Mus musculus: one gene and its partners. The protein of the gene in region 1 purifies or fractionates together with the protein of each later gene. This does not show direct contact. Links are inferred from orthologs where the notes say so. Each region holds a gene or a part of one and is shown on either strand. Other genes may lie near its edges.

The links. The genes of interacting proteins can lie anywhere in the genome.
Region 2: the proteins of Tmub1 (region 1) and Erlin1 purify together in Homo sapiens (affinity purification with mass spectrometry; 3 studies listed by BioGRID and IntAct, with this or other methods). This does not show direct contact. The link is inferred for Mus musculus from reciprocal best matches to the Homo sapiens genes TMUB1 and ERLIN1.
Region 3: the proteins of Tmub1 (region 1) and Rnf170 purify together in Homo sapiens (affinity purification with mass spectrometry; 3 studies listed by BioGRID and IntAct, with this or other methods). This does not show direct contact. The link is inferred for Mus musculus from reciprocal best matches to the Homo sapiens genes TMUB1 and RNF170.

The regions. Positions count from the first base shown.
Region 1 is NC_000071.6:24,443,792-24,450,218, reverse strand, and holds Tmub1 (transmembrane and ubiquitin-like domain-containing protein 1 precursor), read left to right. Parts: upstream 1-2,372; 5' UTR 2,373-2,462; exon of another isoform or gene 2,463-2,472; intron 2,473-3,266; 5' UTR 3,267-3,299; coding exon 3,300-3,685; intron 3,686-3,945; coding exon 3,946-4,297; 3' UTR 4,298-4,756; downstream 4,757-6,427. Other genes in the region: Fastk (fas-activated serine/threonine kinase), read left to right, coding at 5,072-5,153, 5,914-6,324. UniProt on the Homo sapiens protein: Involved in sterol-regulated ubiquitination and degradation of HMG-CoA reductase HMGCR. Involved in positive regulation of AMPA-selective glutamate receptor GRIA2 recycling to the cell surface.
Region 2 is NC_000085.6:44,035,412-44,039,900, reverse strand, and holds part of Erlin1 (erlin-1), read left to right. Parts: intron 1-648; coding exon 649-728; intron 729-2,752; coding exon 2,753-2,974; 3' UTR 2,975-4,489. UniProt on the Homo sapiens protein: Component of the ERLIN1/ERLIN2 complex which mediates the endoplasmic reticulum-associated degradation (ERAD) of inositol 1,4,5-trisphosphate receptors (IP3Rs).
Region 3 is NC_000074.6:26,135,253-26,141,070, reverse strand, and holds part of Rnf170 (E3 ubiquitin-protein ligase RNF170), read right to left. Parts: intron 5,443-5,818; coding exon 5,369-5,442; intron 2,367-5,368; exon of another isoform or gene 2,322-2,366; intron 2,203-2,321; exon of another isoform or gene 2,092-2,202; coding exon 1,981-2,091; intron 261-1,980; coding exon 1-260. UniProt on the Homo sapiens protein: E3 ubiquitin-protein ligase that plays an essential role in stimulus-induced inositol 1,4,5-trisphosphate receptor type 1 (ITPR1) ubiquitination and degradation via the endoplasmic reticulum-associated degradation (ERAD) pathway.

The DNA.
Region 1 (6,427 bases):
GCTGCCTGTGAAGGTCAGTATCCTCTGGGACCGGAGTTATAGAGACTCTTGAGTTGCCGTGTGGTATAATGAGAAGTGAGCCTAAGTCCTCTGAAAGAACAGCCACTGCTCTTAACCGATGAGCCATCTTTCCAGCCCACATGTCATCTTTTTTTACACTCATTTCCACTTCAAAGGGCAACTTGGACTTTTCCCCAAAATAAAATTTCCTAGTATTTTACTTTTTACACACCTTCCCATATTTCTCTTAGTTTCCAAAGGATCAGGCACAAACCAATCAACTCCCAACTATTGAGTGATGCGAGCTTCTATCTGTATGATGTTAGGAATGTCTTGTAAAATTTCTGGTCTTAATCTGAAAACTGAAGTAGTTCAACAAAAATATAGCTTTTCTCATAAAAAAAAAAGTATAGTTCTACTTTACAATTCTAAAACTAATATTAATACTCTGGCCAGGTGGTGGAGGTGCATGGTTTCAATCCCAGCACTCAGGAAGCAGAGGCAGAAGATCTCTGTGAGTTCAAGGCCAGCCTGCTCTACATCAAGAGTTCCAGGTCAGGGCTACATATAGAAACCCTGTCTTGAAAAATAAAAATACAAACCAACAAACCTATAGCATCTCTGTTAGATTCTTAGAATTGGCAGCAAGAAGTTCCCCAGAACTTGAGAGGGAGGGAAACACTCCAAAGTGCTGCCCCAGCCACCAGCACATGCCTACCTTAACATTCATTGATTGTCTATCTGCATATCTGTTCCTCTATTAGTATGTATCAGTGAGGGCAAGGAGAGAAAGCATTATATGCCCAGTATCTTGCACAATACCTAGCATATAAAACATATATACTCAAATATAGCATAAATGAAGAAATATGAAGAAACTAGACAGAAGTTAATTCCTTACTTTATAAATCCAAACTAATGTGCCCAAGGCAATATTTGATCTGGTCTTAATCTGAAAACTGAAGTAGTTAAACAGAGGTCCCATCCATAGAAGAGCAGAGTAGGTTATCTTTAATTAAGACTGGACTGGATGGGGCTAGAGACATGGCTCAGGAGTTAAGAACATTTGCTGCACCTGTTGCTGCTCTTGCAGAGGACCCTAATTCGGTTCCTAACACCTACATGGCTCCAAAAAACTGCCTATTACTCTAGTACTTCCTCTGACCTCCAGAGACGCAAGGCTTGAGTGTGGTGTACTTAAATATACTCAGGCAAACACCCATACAAATATGATATACAAACCCTTGTTTTTAAAAAACTAATTAGGGACTTGTTCTGCAAGCATACGGGCCTCCATTTGACTCCTCAGTATTCATGTCAGAAACCAGGCTTGGGAGCCTCTGCCTGTACCCTTAGCATAAGAGAACAGAGACAAGTCACACAGACACACATGCATGTGCAAACTCCCAAGTCAAAACTGGTCTGTAAAATCTGGGATTCAAGATTTCTGCAGATATTGGAGTCAAAGGAATAAGAAAAAATCTACAGAGATTGGCTGTCACAGATCCATCGTTATATCCTTTATGTGGAAATACTTTTTTAGGGGTGGGAGAATAAAACAGGGTCTTTCTAGGTGACCAAAGTTCTCAACCTCCTAATTGTCCTACCTCAAACTCCCAGTGCTGGGATTACAGGGCTATGTCACCATACTTAGCCAGTTTCTCAGTTTACGTTTTGGTGAAGCCAATGCATTAATACTAGGCGAGCAAAATACAAAAAAATACATAAATTTTACAGAGCTGTCATACTTATTTAATAAAACGAGTTTCTTCTTTCCAACTGACCTAGAAGAATTATACTTGTTCAGAGATTAAATAACCCACCAGAGATTATATAGCTGATGAGTGTCTACATGAGACCGCAGGATGTACACTCAGTTCCAAAGTCTATGCCATCTTTACAATCTCATAGGGACACAGTGCAGCAGAGGCCAGGAGACAGCTGGCGTCAGGCACTCTCCCTAGCAAGTGGGGCAGACAACCTACACCTTCTCAGCAACAGAGTCAATTTAGAAAACCAAGCTGCTTTTTGGCGTCCACAATGACACAGGCTTGGCTGGGTAGTGGCCACCTGCGCTTCCCAGAGCCTTCATCACTGCATCACCAACGCGGGTGCTCTGACATGCTGCAGGATGACGTTGGTGTCAGGAGTGACAGATGCTCCAGCAGCTGGCAGCGGAGATAGAGTTTCTTGCTGCTGACCAAATCTCTGTGGACAAGCAGAAACCCCAGGGTCCTTCCCGTGGGCCCATCGACGATCCAAGGGTACCGGCAACATCTGGTCCAGCCCGGCACGTGGGTTCACAGGGAGGAGGGCGGGAACTAAACAGGGCGAACTACAATCCCCACAATGCTCCCGGGCCGCGGCAGCAGGGAAGGAGAGGGACCTCAGGTGTCTGCGACCTCGGTGCCTTCGGCCCGGAAGTGCCCGAGGAGCCGAGATGGAGCTGGTGGAGCTGGGCGGTGAGTCGCTGTGCGTGGCCGCGCCCACCGGGTCGCCCCAGGCCACAGCTGGGACCTGCTTGCCCCGCCCCGAGATAGCTGGTGCCCTCCAGTAGCTCTGGGGGGCGGGCAGATGGGAGGAGTGATGGAGTAGTCGTGGGGAGGGCTAGGTCTAGGTTCTCCCCGAGGGATCAAGGGTCTGGAGACCTCTGGGTTTGGAGCCCAGGAGGCGCTGGGAGACTGCTGCGGGGTGGGCTTTGGGTGGACCCGAGAAGGTGCCGAGCTGAGTAGACAACTCCCAAGACTCCAGATTGGCCAAGGGTGGAGTTTGACATTTGGGGTTGTCTAGGAAGCTTTGGGAAGTGGTCTTTGTTGTGGGTGGGGTTTGGGTAAATGGTAAGGGGGAGGGCAGGGGGCTAGAGAGACACTTTTATCAGAGAAACTTAAGCGACAGGGCATCAGATGAGCTTTGCTATAAATAGGTGAAGGAGTGAACTTTGGGATGAAGTGAACCAAAGAATAGGTAAGCTTCTGGGTAAAGTTTGATGAAGGTTACATTTAAGGAGAGGGTTGCTTAGAAAAGCAAGGCCCTTTCTTGAACGTAAGGTTTCGGTGAATCGGGTGCTGAATGAAGATCTAGAACTCAGATAGCAAAGCTAGCACTTGGAATCTGGTGATGGGAAGGGACGTTACCCAAAAGCCAAGTTTGGGACTACAGGATGCTGCATCCTGGGTGCGCAAGCACACACAATAACTAGGACAGTTGAAGTTGGAATGACTTCTGACCAGGAAGTAGCCCCTCACCAGTTCTTTGCACCTCTCTAGCTCCTTAGCACCTCTGGCAGCAGCACGGGTGCCATGGCCTTGATTGAAGGCGTAGGCGATGAGGTGACTGTCCTTTTTGCGGTGCTTGCTTGCCTTCTGGTGCTGGCCCTCGCCTGGGTCTCAACACATACCACTGAGAGTACAGACCCCCAACCACAGCCGCCGGGGACCACAACACCAGCACAGCCCAGTGAAGCCATGTCAGCCTCTGACAGCATCAGAGAGGAGGCCCCAGGGGCTGAGAGTCCCAGCCTGAGACACAGAGGTCCATCTGCACAGCCAGAGCCTGACACAGGGGTCACAGCATCAACACCTCCAGACTCTCCGCAGGAACCCCTACTTCTACGGTTGAAATTTCTCAATGACTCTGAGCAGGTAGCCAGGGCCTGGCCTCAGGACACCATTGGCTCCTTAAAAAGGTAAGCTGGGAAGAGGGTAAGAACAAAATGCTAAAAATGGGGTGGGTGTCTATAGAAGGGTCACCCTATGAAGCTCTCCCTTATTTTCTGTTTGAAAAATCTGTCTCCTCACATTATACACCATTCCTGTTAATCTGTCCCCCAGAGGCCAGGATCTGGGTGGTCAGGTGTAGGGGTGGTGAAAATTGGGATTGGTCCTCTGAACAATGGGCCAGGACTGCCTGAGGCCTGCTCTCTTACCCAGGTCCCTCTCTCCTCAGGACCCAGTTTCCAGGCCAGGAACAGCAGGTTCGGCTCATCTACCAAGGTCAACTGCTAGGAGACGACACTCAGACACTAGGCAGTCTCCACCTGCCCCCCAACTGCGTTCTCCACTGCCACGTGTCCACGAGAGTCGGTCCCCCACATCCTCCCTGCCCACCGGGGTCAGAGCCCGGCCCCTCCGGGCTGGAAATCGGCAGCCTTCTGTTGCCCCTGCTGCTTCTGCTGCTGCTCCTGCTCTGGTACTGCCAGATCCAGTACCGGCCCTTCTTTCCCCTGACCGCTACCCTGGGTCTGGCCGGCTTCACCCTGCTCCTCAGTCTCCTGGCCTTTGCCATGTATCGGCCGTAGTGCCTCCACGGGCTTTTGGCAGTGTAGCCAGCCCCTCTGGACCTCATTCCCCAAGGCGCAAAGGGAGCTGCTGTCTGCCCAGGCCCACTTCACCCGCTGCCTGTCTTTTCCCACTACCCTGGAGCCCAGCTTTGCGCCGCAGAGGACTTCGGGTGTTAGCGGAGGCCGCTCCGTGTGATCTTCATAGCTCTAGGCCATCTCCTGGGGCTGCTGGACCTCAGCCTTCGCTGGCAGTGGGCTCTTCTGGATCAGGCACTTGCTGTCGCTGCCTTGGCCGCCAGGGCACCCCAATGGGCCCATCTTAGTGTGCTGACAGAGGATCTAGATACTTCTAGTTTCAAAGAGCTGCCTAGGCTGAATTGGAAACTGGTGGACTGGGAGACTGGTGAAGGGGAATCGAGAGGGGCAGAGTTGTTTTCTGGAATTTGTGCAGATTAAAGAAACTGTGACGTTTTCCTACCCAGTGTGTCTGTGTGTTGCTTGAGGGTGGGGAGCCCTTGTTCTACGAGAATGGAACCTGCCCTAGGTCCTGAGTGCTCAAGCTACCCCAGGGCTGGACAGAGGACCGCCACTCCCGGCACCTTTCAGCGCAAGCTCTGTGGCCCCGCCCCCGCGACGTGCGCATTTCCCGGAAGCGGAGGGCGGGGCTCGCGGCTCCTCTGCTCGCAGCGCCTGCTGGGAGCCACGTCTCCGCCGCCCTGGCGCTGGACTGCGATTGGCGTCTGGGGGCGATCCGGGGGCTGCTGGGAAGATGGCGGACTCGGTGGCCCGCTGATGAGGAGGCCGCGGGGGGAGCCCGGCTCCCGGGCCCCAAGACCAGCTGAGAGAGTGACCTACGCGGGGCCCGGGGAGTCATGTAGGGTGGCGCCTGAGGGGCGGACCTCGGGAGGGCGGCGGGAGCTGGTGTTAGTGGTGGTGACCACGGGCTGCTCGCCTCTTGGGGCCGGGACAGGGTGTGGGGGCCCCTCCCGCGGACAGCATCAGCTCCGCGCCTTGGCAGATAGCTCACTCGGGCTCGGCGCGCGCCCCGCGAGCTTGCGCTGTGTTCTCATTTCACTAGTGAGGAGGCTTAGGCAGAGAGGCGAAGACATTAGTTCAAGGTCACGCAGCTGGTAAGTGGGAGCGCCCAGCATGGGACCCAGCACCGGCCCGCTACTGAGCCTGCGTTCCACCCACCCCGCCGCCGCCGCCTCCTGCGGGACGGGGAGGTGGTCTTCAGGGCTCATCGCCCGGACCACCGGGGCTCCCAGGCTGGGTGCGACCACTAGCCCTGTGAATGACCTCAGGCTTAACCTCTCCGCCGCTCTGGGCCTGTTTCTCCGCCTGAGAAATGAGGTAACAGCCCTGAGACTCCTCATCAGCTTGCACGGAGCATCGAAGGCGATATGCATGTGAAATGTGAATAGAATTGCACTGAGCACACTTAAAGAATTAGGGTTTCTGTGTCAAGGAATGGGAGAAGAGGGGCAGACTGGGTAAGAATACCAGGGCAATCACACGGGATTTTTTTTTTTTTTAAACTTCAGGCCCTTTGGATGGGGAGTCAGGTAAGGACTAGATAGCATATTTTTCCCCTTGGAGGAAACCTCACCTGGTTTTCTGGGCCACCCCCTCAGGGTCTCCACCACCCAGCTCCATGCTTCGAATCCTGCTCTCTGCCCAGACTTCCCCTGCTCGGCTGTCTGGTTTGCTGCTCATCCCACCAGTACAGCCCTGTTGTTTGGGACCCAGCAAGTCCGGGGACCGGCCTTTTGGAGGAGGCCCTGTGCAAGGCCTTCAACGGCTTCTGGAACAGGCACGGAGCCCTGGGGAGCTACTGCGATGGCTGAGCCAGAACCCCACCAAGGTGCGAGCTCATCACTACCCTGTGGCACTCCGGCGTCTGGGCCAGCTCTTGGTGTCTCAGCCTAGGCCCTCTCCTGTGGAGCAGGCCACACTGCAGGACTTGAGTCAGCTCATCATCCGAAACTGCCCCTCCTTTGACGTTCACACCATCCATGTGTGTCTCCACCTTGCAGTGTTACTTGGTGAGGAGGGTATTGGAAGGTGTGGGTGTTTCGGGAAGAATAGAGGAAGAGAGAGCAGTAGAGGACCCAAGCCATTGATAAAACTCATGTTCCCATTCACCTC
Region 2 (4,489 bases), on another chromosome or scaffold:
TTAATCCCAGCACTTGGGAGGCAGAGGCAGGCAGATTTCTTAGTTCAAGGCCAGCCTGGTCTACACAGTGAGTTCCAGGACAGCCAGGGCTACACAGAGAAACCCTGTCTTGACCAAAAAAAAAAAAAAAAAAAAAAAAAATTAGCTGGGAAAAAGATACAGTCCAGTTGTAATGAAAAATCTAAAACTCTGTAATCACGTAGATCTGTTCATTATTGAACCCAGGGCCTTGCATATGCTAGCTAATGTGGATGTTCTTAGACCATGGTCTATGCTTATATATAGCTTTTTCTTATCTCTCTGTGTTTCTAGATTCGGCCTGTAGTTGTTTTGCCTGACCCCTTCCTGGGTGGAGGGTAAGGCTCTAGGTGATGGGAAGTTGGAGGGAGGTGGAGGACAAGGGAACTACTTAGAACAGAAAATGAGTTAACTTAGAAAGGAGCTGTTGGTTAACAGTGATGAACTTTAATTCCCCTTATAAAGGAGCTGTTCTGAGGATTGAGAGTTTTTAAGTTGTTAAATTTATAACTTACAGTGAGGCAAACAATTGAAATATTAAGCAGTAAAAAAGATACTCTTACCCAGATGAGGGAATAGAGTGGCAATTTTCTTTCATTGCAAACATGCTGTTACCGTTTTATTTGCTAGATGCTGCGTTCCTGGCCCGAGAGAAGGCAAAAGCAGATGCCGAGTATTACGCTGCACACAAATACGCCACCTCAAACAAGGTGACTGCCCATGCCCTTCCCTAGTAACTGCTTCTGGTGTGCATTCAATATCATGGGTTCTAGTGTGGTAGAAGTAGTTGTATTCAGTATCAGAAAAGGGTAGTGGCCAACCCATCATTGACCAAATACATAGCAAGACATATTGATACCCATTGTTAGGGAGGGAACATTGTCTGTTTTTCTAAAAGTAAGGAGTAAAGACTAGTGGATTCATGAGCACAGGTCAAATGCCATGAAACCATCCATCTCTCCTGTAAGAAAGGGCTCTGAGAAGTTGAAGATCTTTTGAGAAAATGACAGAAAAAGAGGAAAACTAAGTTAGAATAGCTTTCCTGATAAGTTAGCTTTTCAGGATAAAAACTGAACTTTACTGCCTCCTCTCAGGGACATCCTTGCAGCTTCTGGGGCAAGATAGTTTTCCACCGTTGAAGGCTGTCCGCGTGCTATGGTGCATTTGTGTATCTGTCCCTTCCTGCTACACACCTGTAGTACTTGTCTTAACATCTTCTCTCACATACATTTCCACAGTGTAAATTTAGAAACAAATTTGACTTCAGATGAAGCAGAGTGGAATGTTGACAGATGAAGGCAGGATGGGGACTTTCCACATCCGCCAGTACAAATTGGTGGTTGGAGATCTGGCCAGGTGGAAGCATCCGGATCTCACTACTGGGACTGAAGAGATGGTTAAGGGTGCTTGTTGCACTTTCAGGGGGTCAGAGTTCAATATCTAACTCCTACACTGGGTGACTCACACTCCAACTCTAAGGGGTTAGATTCTATCTCCGCCCCTTCACAGCCATGTACACATGTGCACACACAAACATACATATAAACAAAAATAAAGTGTCATTTTAAAAATAAAAGACATTATTATGAAGATCAAACTTATTCTGAAAAGGGTAGTCATTTGATATCATCTTGAGAACTGCTACTCATATCAGTGTGTATTAAAGGCTTTAGAAAGTCATTTAGTTGGACTGTTTGATCAGACTTAACTGCACTGTTTTGGCAGATGATTAGAATCCGCTGGAGAGGGTGGAGATGCAGTGACTAAAGATGCTGAAGTGCAGAGAGGAACTGATCAGCACTGCAAAGGACAGGACAGACTCAAGACAGAGAGCAGATTACTAGAGTAATCCTGAGGAAATTAAGAAACAATAGAAATGGGTTCTAAACCAAAGCAAGTTTGGTTGAAAATATCAACACAAAATACTAGTAGTGAGGCAGATGGTGTAGCTCAGTGGATAGAGTGCTTAGCTAGCATGGCTGGTCCTCAATGTGGTTTCTAACACCACCTAAACCTGGGTGTGGTGACAGGTGTCTAAGATCCCAGTAATCTGTGGTAAAAACAGGAGAATTAAAAGTTCAAGGTCATCCTGTGCCTCAGAGCAAGTTTGAGGCCGGTCTGAAATATGTGAGGTTCTTTTTCAAACATTAACTGTTGGTAGAAGCAGTTCTGGTGGTTGGCAAACATCCATCTTACCACAAATGACTTAAACAGCCAACTTGTGGATAAAGGCAGATATGTCAGCTTAGGTGATTTCTAGACATACTCCAATTCTCAAATTTGGTTGAAAAAGTTGAGTCACTAAGACACCTGGTTAAACAGTTGTGAACCTAGGCTTTTCCTTGGAAACCCTAACACTCATCTGTTGAGTTGTGCACCTCTCTCAAGAGAATCTGAAATTCTGTCATTGCCTGGTTGAGTTGAGCATGAAACAAAATGCATGCAAACTACTCTATAAGCTATAAAAGAAATACTGTGTTATTTGATCCCCAATCTATTAAAAAAAAGGATAAGGTTTCTCCTACATTAAGACAGGAGTTTGTTAAAGGGATTTTAGCTAAGAACTTAGCTATTCATAGGATAACCACACTCCAAAATGAAATAGGGTCACTGGGAAACACTCTAAGTTGAGTCATGTTACTCAGGAGAGCAACTGGAGAAATAGTCTTCAAGGAGAAGAGATGACTGCTGCACCAAACTATTCTAACTCTTCTGCTCTTGTTTCCTCACCCAGCACAAACTGACCCCAGAGTATCTGGAGCTCAAGAAATACCAGGCCATTGCCTCAAACAGTAAGATCTACTTTGGCAGCAACATCCCCAGCATGTTTGTGGACTCCTCCTGTGCTCTGAAATACTCTGATGGTAGGACTGGGAGAGAAGACTCCCTTCCCCCAGAGGAGGCCCGTGAGCCCTCTGGAGAGAGCCCCATCCAAAACAAGGAGAACGCAGGTTGATGCAAGAGGTGGAAATGTTCTCCCATATCAAGATGCGACCCAAGGGGCTAAGTGGGAACAGTGGTTATGTGGACTCGTAAGATTCACAGAGAATGTGTGCTCTGTTGTGATTCTCTTGTCATAGTCCTGGTTTGCCAGCTGACTACAGGATAGACCCAGCTGTCTGGCACTCAAACGGTCTCTGCAGCCACAGTTTTATCAAGTATCCTGTATGTGTTCCTTTGTAAACCGGTACTCATGAATGAGGGAAAGTCTGATGCTAAGATACTGCCTGCACTGGAATGTCAAACACTATATAACAAGCTGTGGTTTTTAAAAGCTATTGAATAATGTTTACATTGGTCCCTGAGGACATGTGTGCTCAGACATTCAAGAGCTAGGAGGCCAGAGAGAAGACCTTCAGAAAACGGTAAGTTAAAGAAGACAAGTGTCATCAGACACTTGGGACCCGGGCTCTCTTTAAAGTCTAGTCCCGGCATTCCTCCATGTGATTGACAGCCAGACCTCTGGGTTCCCAGGAAATTATCTTCCAGTTGAATGACCATTTACTTGATACAAATTGTACCTTTCTGTTTTTCTAGTCAGGTTGGTGGCCTGCAGGGACGCGTACTTTGCCACCCGACCAGAGGTTCCTCGAAGATATTCCCAATCACTAGTTTATTGCGTTAGGAGACTCAGAGATATAGAAAGCAGCTGAAATTTAAGGGAGATAAAGCCTGCACTGCACCAAAGCTACGGGTCCCTGTGTTTCCTCTATTCAGTGATGTCATCAACCTCACTGTCCCAGCCCATGTGTGACTAAAGTGCCCGGTTTTAGCCACAGACAACTGCTTAGATGTCACCTCTTGGCTGACCAAAGCTGGGACAGGGCTTTAACCAGACATAGGAGCAGTGTGCAATTCCTGATTCACTGCACAGTATTATGTCATAATTGCAGGAATTATTTTTTGTTTTTAAAACTGGATTTGGGGCACATTCATTCACCCCAACACTTCTATCTAAAGGCCAAGGTTCTAGGGCTGCTATGGTCACTAACACACTGATTCTCCTTAAAGTAATTCTCGAAGTGTGGAACAAAGTGACCGAGACAGCATCCTCAGTCATCTTTGTCTCCTTCCCTGGGATGCAGATACCGAAGTTGCTTTTCCAACTTTCGCCTCCGCTAGGAGATCAGAAAGAATTCTTGTGACTTCCTGGGCAGCCATTGAATTCATTTTCCATGAGAAGATGACAGAGTTAGCCTGTGGCTATAGGAGATCATGTCATCCAGACCTTTTTGCCCATCACATTAACTTTCCTGGAATATTGTGCTGCACAGGTAGACCTGAATCTGCCCAGCTTGTTGACAGCTCTTGTGTATACTGTGTTGAAGCCAGACAGAAAAGTAATGGGGCCACTTCTGAAACCTCTCAGCTGTTGATCTCACAGCAGCTAAAGGGTTGTGCCAAACATTTTATTAAGAAAGTAAAGCCCAGATTTGAATGGGGGTTTTCCCTAGGCCTTATAGTATAGAGG
Region 3 (5,818 bases), on another chromosome or scaffold:
AGTCTTTGGGTTATCACTTCTCGATACATAATGGAGATGTAAATAAGCAACAAAAAGATAACAAAGAAATCATCTAGAAAGCCCAGAATTCCAAACAAGGCTTCAGGTACAAAATCTAGAGGTGATATTAAATAGAAAAAAGCTCCCATCAAACAAAGCATTATCCTAATGCGGAACATCCAGAAGAGGCCCCCAACTGAGAACACTTCCCTGAACGCATGTCTCAGCAAGGTGGGGAGGTCCATGATCCTTTCCATAATCTGAAGGAGGAAAAACAAGTACTAGAATTTAGCATCTAAGATATCAAATTAAAAAGTAATATTTTCATATAATGTACAGATTCAGCTAAGATGAATTAAGGTGTTTTACATATTTAATACCAGACTTTCCAACTATGCATTTTATTTAAAAATTAGTTACTAGATTTTTTTTATAAAACAGGTCTTCTTATAGACAACTGAATAGCAATAAAGTATCAACATGCTTAAAATGTGGAATAATAGATTGAAAACATATCTGAAAGTCTGATACTTCAAATGCTACAGATTTTTAGGTGTTCTAAAACATAAAAGGCTCTAAAGTCTAAAAGTTTTTGAGCCAAAAAGTGTTGGATTTCAGAACATGTTAAACTTGTGACTTTATGATTTTCAAATTCAGGAGGTTCTATTTGTAAAATCATGCAAATACTCTGAAATCTGAAAACTCGGATCTCAAGTATTTCAGATAAATGGTTCTAAACCTAAAGTCATCCAAAACTCAAGTTACTGATCAATAATCTTATAAAATAAGCCAAGAAACTGTAGCCAGGAGTGGTGGTTCACTCCTGTAATTCCCAGGTTGGGAGGCAGGAGATCAGTAATAGCTCAAGGCTAGCCTAGGCTACAGAATAAGACCCTCTCTCAAAAACACCATGCAGGCTTATAGTCTGGGATTTGTTCCCAAGTGTCAGATTTACTATCAAGATATATCTGAGTTGGACTGAAAAATCCATCAATTATTAGATGAAGTGATCTTGGGGTACGACTTCCTTTAACAACAGGCTGTTTTTACTACTTGAAAAAGGCCTATGTGATAATGAATGAATGAATGAATGAATGAATGAAAAAGGCAGACTATGTACAAGTTTTATAGCCCTGGGGATTGAACCTAGGCACTTGGCAGACAAGTGTTCTAGCCTGAGCTATATCCTTAGCCGTCCTTTCATGTCTTATTCCAAGAGCATCACATCAAGTTAATAATGCTGGCCTTGAATTTGCTATCCTCCTGCCCCAGCCTCCCGAATACCTGGGATTATGTCTGTTCCACCAGGACGTGGTATTATACACTAAAAATGAACTAACGAGTATGTGAGTGTGTGTGTGTGTGCGCGCGCACTCAAGCATATAAAAATAAATAAATAAATAAATAAATAAATAAATAAATGTATATGTATATGTGTGTGTGTTGGAGCAACGGCTAAGGCACACTTGCTATTATTGTTTCTAGCACCCATGCTGAGTGGCTCACCATCACCACTCCAGTTGCAGAGGTTTTGATGCCCTCTTTAGGCCTCCAGAGACACCTACATGCATGTGGTGCACATATATACATACACACACACATATATACATAGATTAAAACAGCTTTTTTTTAAATGCTCAGTCAAAAACAGCAAAGGACTAAGTATGGTGGCACATGCCTTTAATGGCAGTACTTAGAAGCAGAGACAAGCAGAGGTCTGGGATTTCAAGACCAGCTAGTCTACACATCAAGTTCCAGACACCCAAGGCTACATAATGAGACCCTGTGTCAAAAAAATATATGAATAAATAGATAAACTCTGCCCTCTGGGAAAACTAGCAACTGGCAATGATGAAGGTTAAAACTTAGTCCAAAACACATACTAAGACTTTACATAGTTCAATAGCTGGTTGATAAATCTGATTGTACAAAAAGTATAAAGGCTCTCTCTGACTTTGTAGCTGCTATAATATTACTTACAGATCTAGGCTGCCCTGAGAATCTCCGGTTATAATCATTAACATCTTGACGCAATCTTATAACATCCTGAGATTGATCATCTTCACCAAATACTGTTAGGAGGAGAGTTACCTGTGTATTACAGGAAAAAGCTGTTACACCTTCTGCACCATTATTATCACTTTTCACTTTGTGTTGTTCAAGAGAATGAGAAAAGCTTCTGAATGTATGTTTCATTCATTCCTTTGAATAAAGGCAACATGGGGGACGTGTGAGTAATTTCTGCCTTACAGTAAAATGTAGTACAAAATGTAATTTTTAATTCCTCCAAGATAAAATGGGTTCCACATCTAAACACTTACTCTAATATTTTCCTGTTCATATCAGGCACTAAAACCCACAGTTCTCTGCAAAAAGCATATACGTGGAGATAAAAGGATGATAGGAAAACCTTCAGTAACAAAGTGACATTAAAAATATAAACCTATCATTTTCAGAGAAAGATTTAGGCACTCCCGACTGACTGGTTTTACTCACACTTGGCATGTCTTTGAGTCTTTCTATCCCACTACAGAAACTAAAGGGTTGTATGGCCTGACGCTGAAACACCAGTCCTTTTTGTCATAAGAAAATATAAGTTTTGGTACTGTTATAGAACAAAGGTTAGTCTTGCTACTTTCATGACCATGGTAAAGATGACTCACAGTTGCCTAAGGTACCTTGAAAACTATGTATAGCTAAGAATGTAACAATCTCTAAAGAATGATATCTGATAAATACAATGAGATAAGATGAAAGGGACTAAATCGGGTTTAGGGGGATGGAGAGATGGCTCAGTGGGTAAGAATGCTGGCTGCTCTTCCAGAGGTTCTGAGTTCAATTCCCAACCACATGGTGGCTCACAAACATTTGTAATGGGATCCAATACCCTCTTCAGACTTACAGAGATGTGCTTGCAGAGAGCATACTCATTTACATAGAACATAAATAAATCTTAAAAAAGAACAGGTTTAGTTTTGGATCATTCTAGATGTTTTTATCCTTCCTGAGAACAAGAAAACCACTAATCAGATATTTTCCAAAGTTAAATGAAGGAGTGACTAAGTGGTATGAGCAGCAGACACAGTCACCCATACCTTCACAGATTTGTCAATAAAAATGTAGTCTCTAAAATAAGGCACTAATTTTAAGTCTCCAGCAAGATTAGCCCTTATAGTCAGGACAGTCAAATCCAATCTTTTTTTTTTTTTGATTTTTCAAGACAGGGTTTCTCTGTATAGCCCTGGCTGTCCTGGAACTCACTTTGTAGACCAGGCTGGCCTCGAACTCAGAAATCCGCCTGCCTCTGCCTTCCAAGTGCTGGGATTAAAGGCGTGTGCCACCATGTCAAATCTAATCTTAAGAGATCTAACCTTCATGGTCTTTTCCTTCTTGTAACTATTCTTTTCTCAAAGCTAATGTAAGGCTTTAGAACATGAACTGTTTCTTTAAAATGCAGTCTTGTCAGGAACAGTAGTGTACACCTTTAATCTCAGCACTTAGGAAGCAGAGACAGATAGAACTCTATGAGTTCAAGGCCAGCCTGGCTTGCATAGTGAGCTCTAGGACAGCCAGGGTTACACAGTGAGACACTGTCTCAAAACAAACAAATGAATGTAATTGAGCATCTCCTATGCTTGGTTGAGCATCTACTATGAGCTGGGCACTATTAGTGGTATGCACACATGGAAAAAAAGATGGCACAGCCTCATCATGAATGACGTCAACATCTGCAAGAAAGGCAGGAAGCTGACCTGTTCCAGAGCCTGTTATCTGGCATTGCAGGTGGTATCAAAACTGCGCTTTCCCTTGGGAGGCCTAGTACTCCTGAAGAATAAGGCAAGGTCTTGAGGTGCTGGTATGAGTGTTTGGTAAGCTAACGTACAGAGAGGAGTGACAAGCGTGCTCTCGTCAGACAGCAGCCTGCCTGTTATTTCCATGGCCATTTGCCAGTCAAACAGTACTTTCTACTGTCTTGCCTCCAGGTTAAATGACTGAAATTAGGGAAACAATGGCTATCAGACAGACTAAGAGAGCCTTATCCCCTTACTAACCCCTAGTCAGTTTTCAGTACAACAACCACTCTAGGAAAGCCATGAGTAAAATCAAAAAGTGGGCTGAGTGTGTGTGGCGATCTGGATAGTCCCCATAAGCTTACCATTTTCAATGTTTGGTCATTAGAAAGTGGTACCACTTGACAGGGATTAGAGGGTGTGGCCTTGTGGGAGTAGGTGTGGCCTACTGGAGGAAGTACATCACTGGGGGTTGGGCTTTGGGGTTTCAAATGCTCAAGCCAGGCCCAGAGTCTCTTTCCCTGCTGCCTGTGAATCTGGATGTAGAACTCAGCTCCTTCTCCAGCACTGTGTCTTCCTGCTTGCTGCCATGCTTCCTCCCATGATGATAATGGTCTAAACTTCTGAAACTGTAAGCAAGCCCCAACTAAATGCTTTCCTTTATAAAATTTACCATTGCTCTTCACAGCAATAGAACACTGGATAAGACAGGGTGGAACTCATTTTTCAGTTTAAGATACACTGCCTGGCCTCCACATTTCTGGCAAAAGCTAAGAACTACTGGCAATTAGTTTAAGGCAAATGAACTGCCCATGACACATGTCAAATTAGCCACAGAAACAATGTGAGAGGGGCAAACCACCTTTCCTTCTAACCATGTGGGAAAAAGTAAAAAGTGCTGAGGCAGAGTTTGGGACTACAGAAATAAAAAGGAAAAGAAGGAAGCCTGGCTCTCCAGCTCTAACAGCAATGGGAAAATTATTGCTAAAACAAAGGAAGCATGCACTGTAAGGATAACTGTGTGGCTTCATTATTAAAGTTCAAAGAAAATGGGACAAGATAAATACTTAAATATTTTTAAAAGGAAGAATATATTTTTCCCAAAAGAGAACAGTATGTGGGAAAAACTCACTTATCTCTTGTTTTTTCACTACAACTGTAGGATTTCAAATTGAATTCCCCCTTTTATGATACCTTAGTGATTTTAAAAAAAAAATTTTTTTTTTAAATTTAGAGAAGTTACACAGTAGGTTAAAATGCAATTTGGCTGGAAAAGTAACTCAGTTTAAATTTAAGACTGCTAACACTGGGCAGGAGAATGGCTCAGTGGTAAGAAGACGTGCTGCTCTTGCAGAGGCCTGAGGGTCAGTTCCCAGCCGCATCATGCAGCTCACAGTCACTGAAGGACCCAGTGCCTTCTATGGCCTCTATGGACCCTTGCACTCAGGCTATGTACTTACACTCAAGCACACACACACACACACACACACACACAAAAAAAATCTTAAACCAAAAGAAGCCCTAATATTTATGAAATGAAATACCATAAGTGATACTTTATATCTAGAGAACACTACCGTTTGTCTACAGATAGGACAACTGATTGCACCAAGCCAGGACCCGTATCGCCAGTATGCAATTATGCAGGAACCTAGTGGAATAAGAAAACATCAATAATGAAGCTTTAAAGTTCATATTTGCTGGTCAAGTTTCCACTATTTAATAGTATTACTTTTCTTAAAACATTGTTTTATTACATTGTTTATTGATATAGCTTACTAAATATTCCTTGAAAATTTTACCTCATCTAACCAAATTTTCAGATAAATTAAAATCTGGCAGTCATTCCCAACCAGTAAAAAAACATTTTTCTTTTGGCTACTACTTAAGCAATGGACATTTTATACAATAAAAAGCAAATATTAATCACCTCAGTTACTGAGGCCTCAAGAAAACAGTTTCCTATGTAAAATAAACACTATACCAAATATGACAAACTGTAAGATACTATTTGTTACAAATTTGAT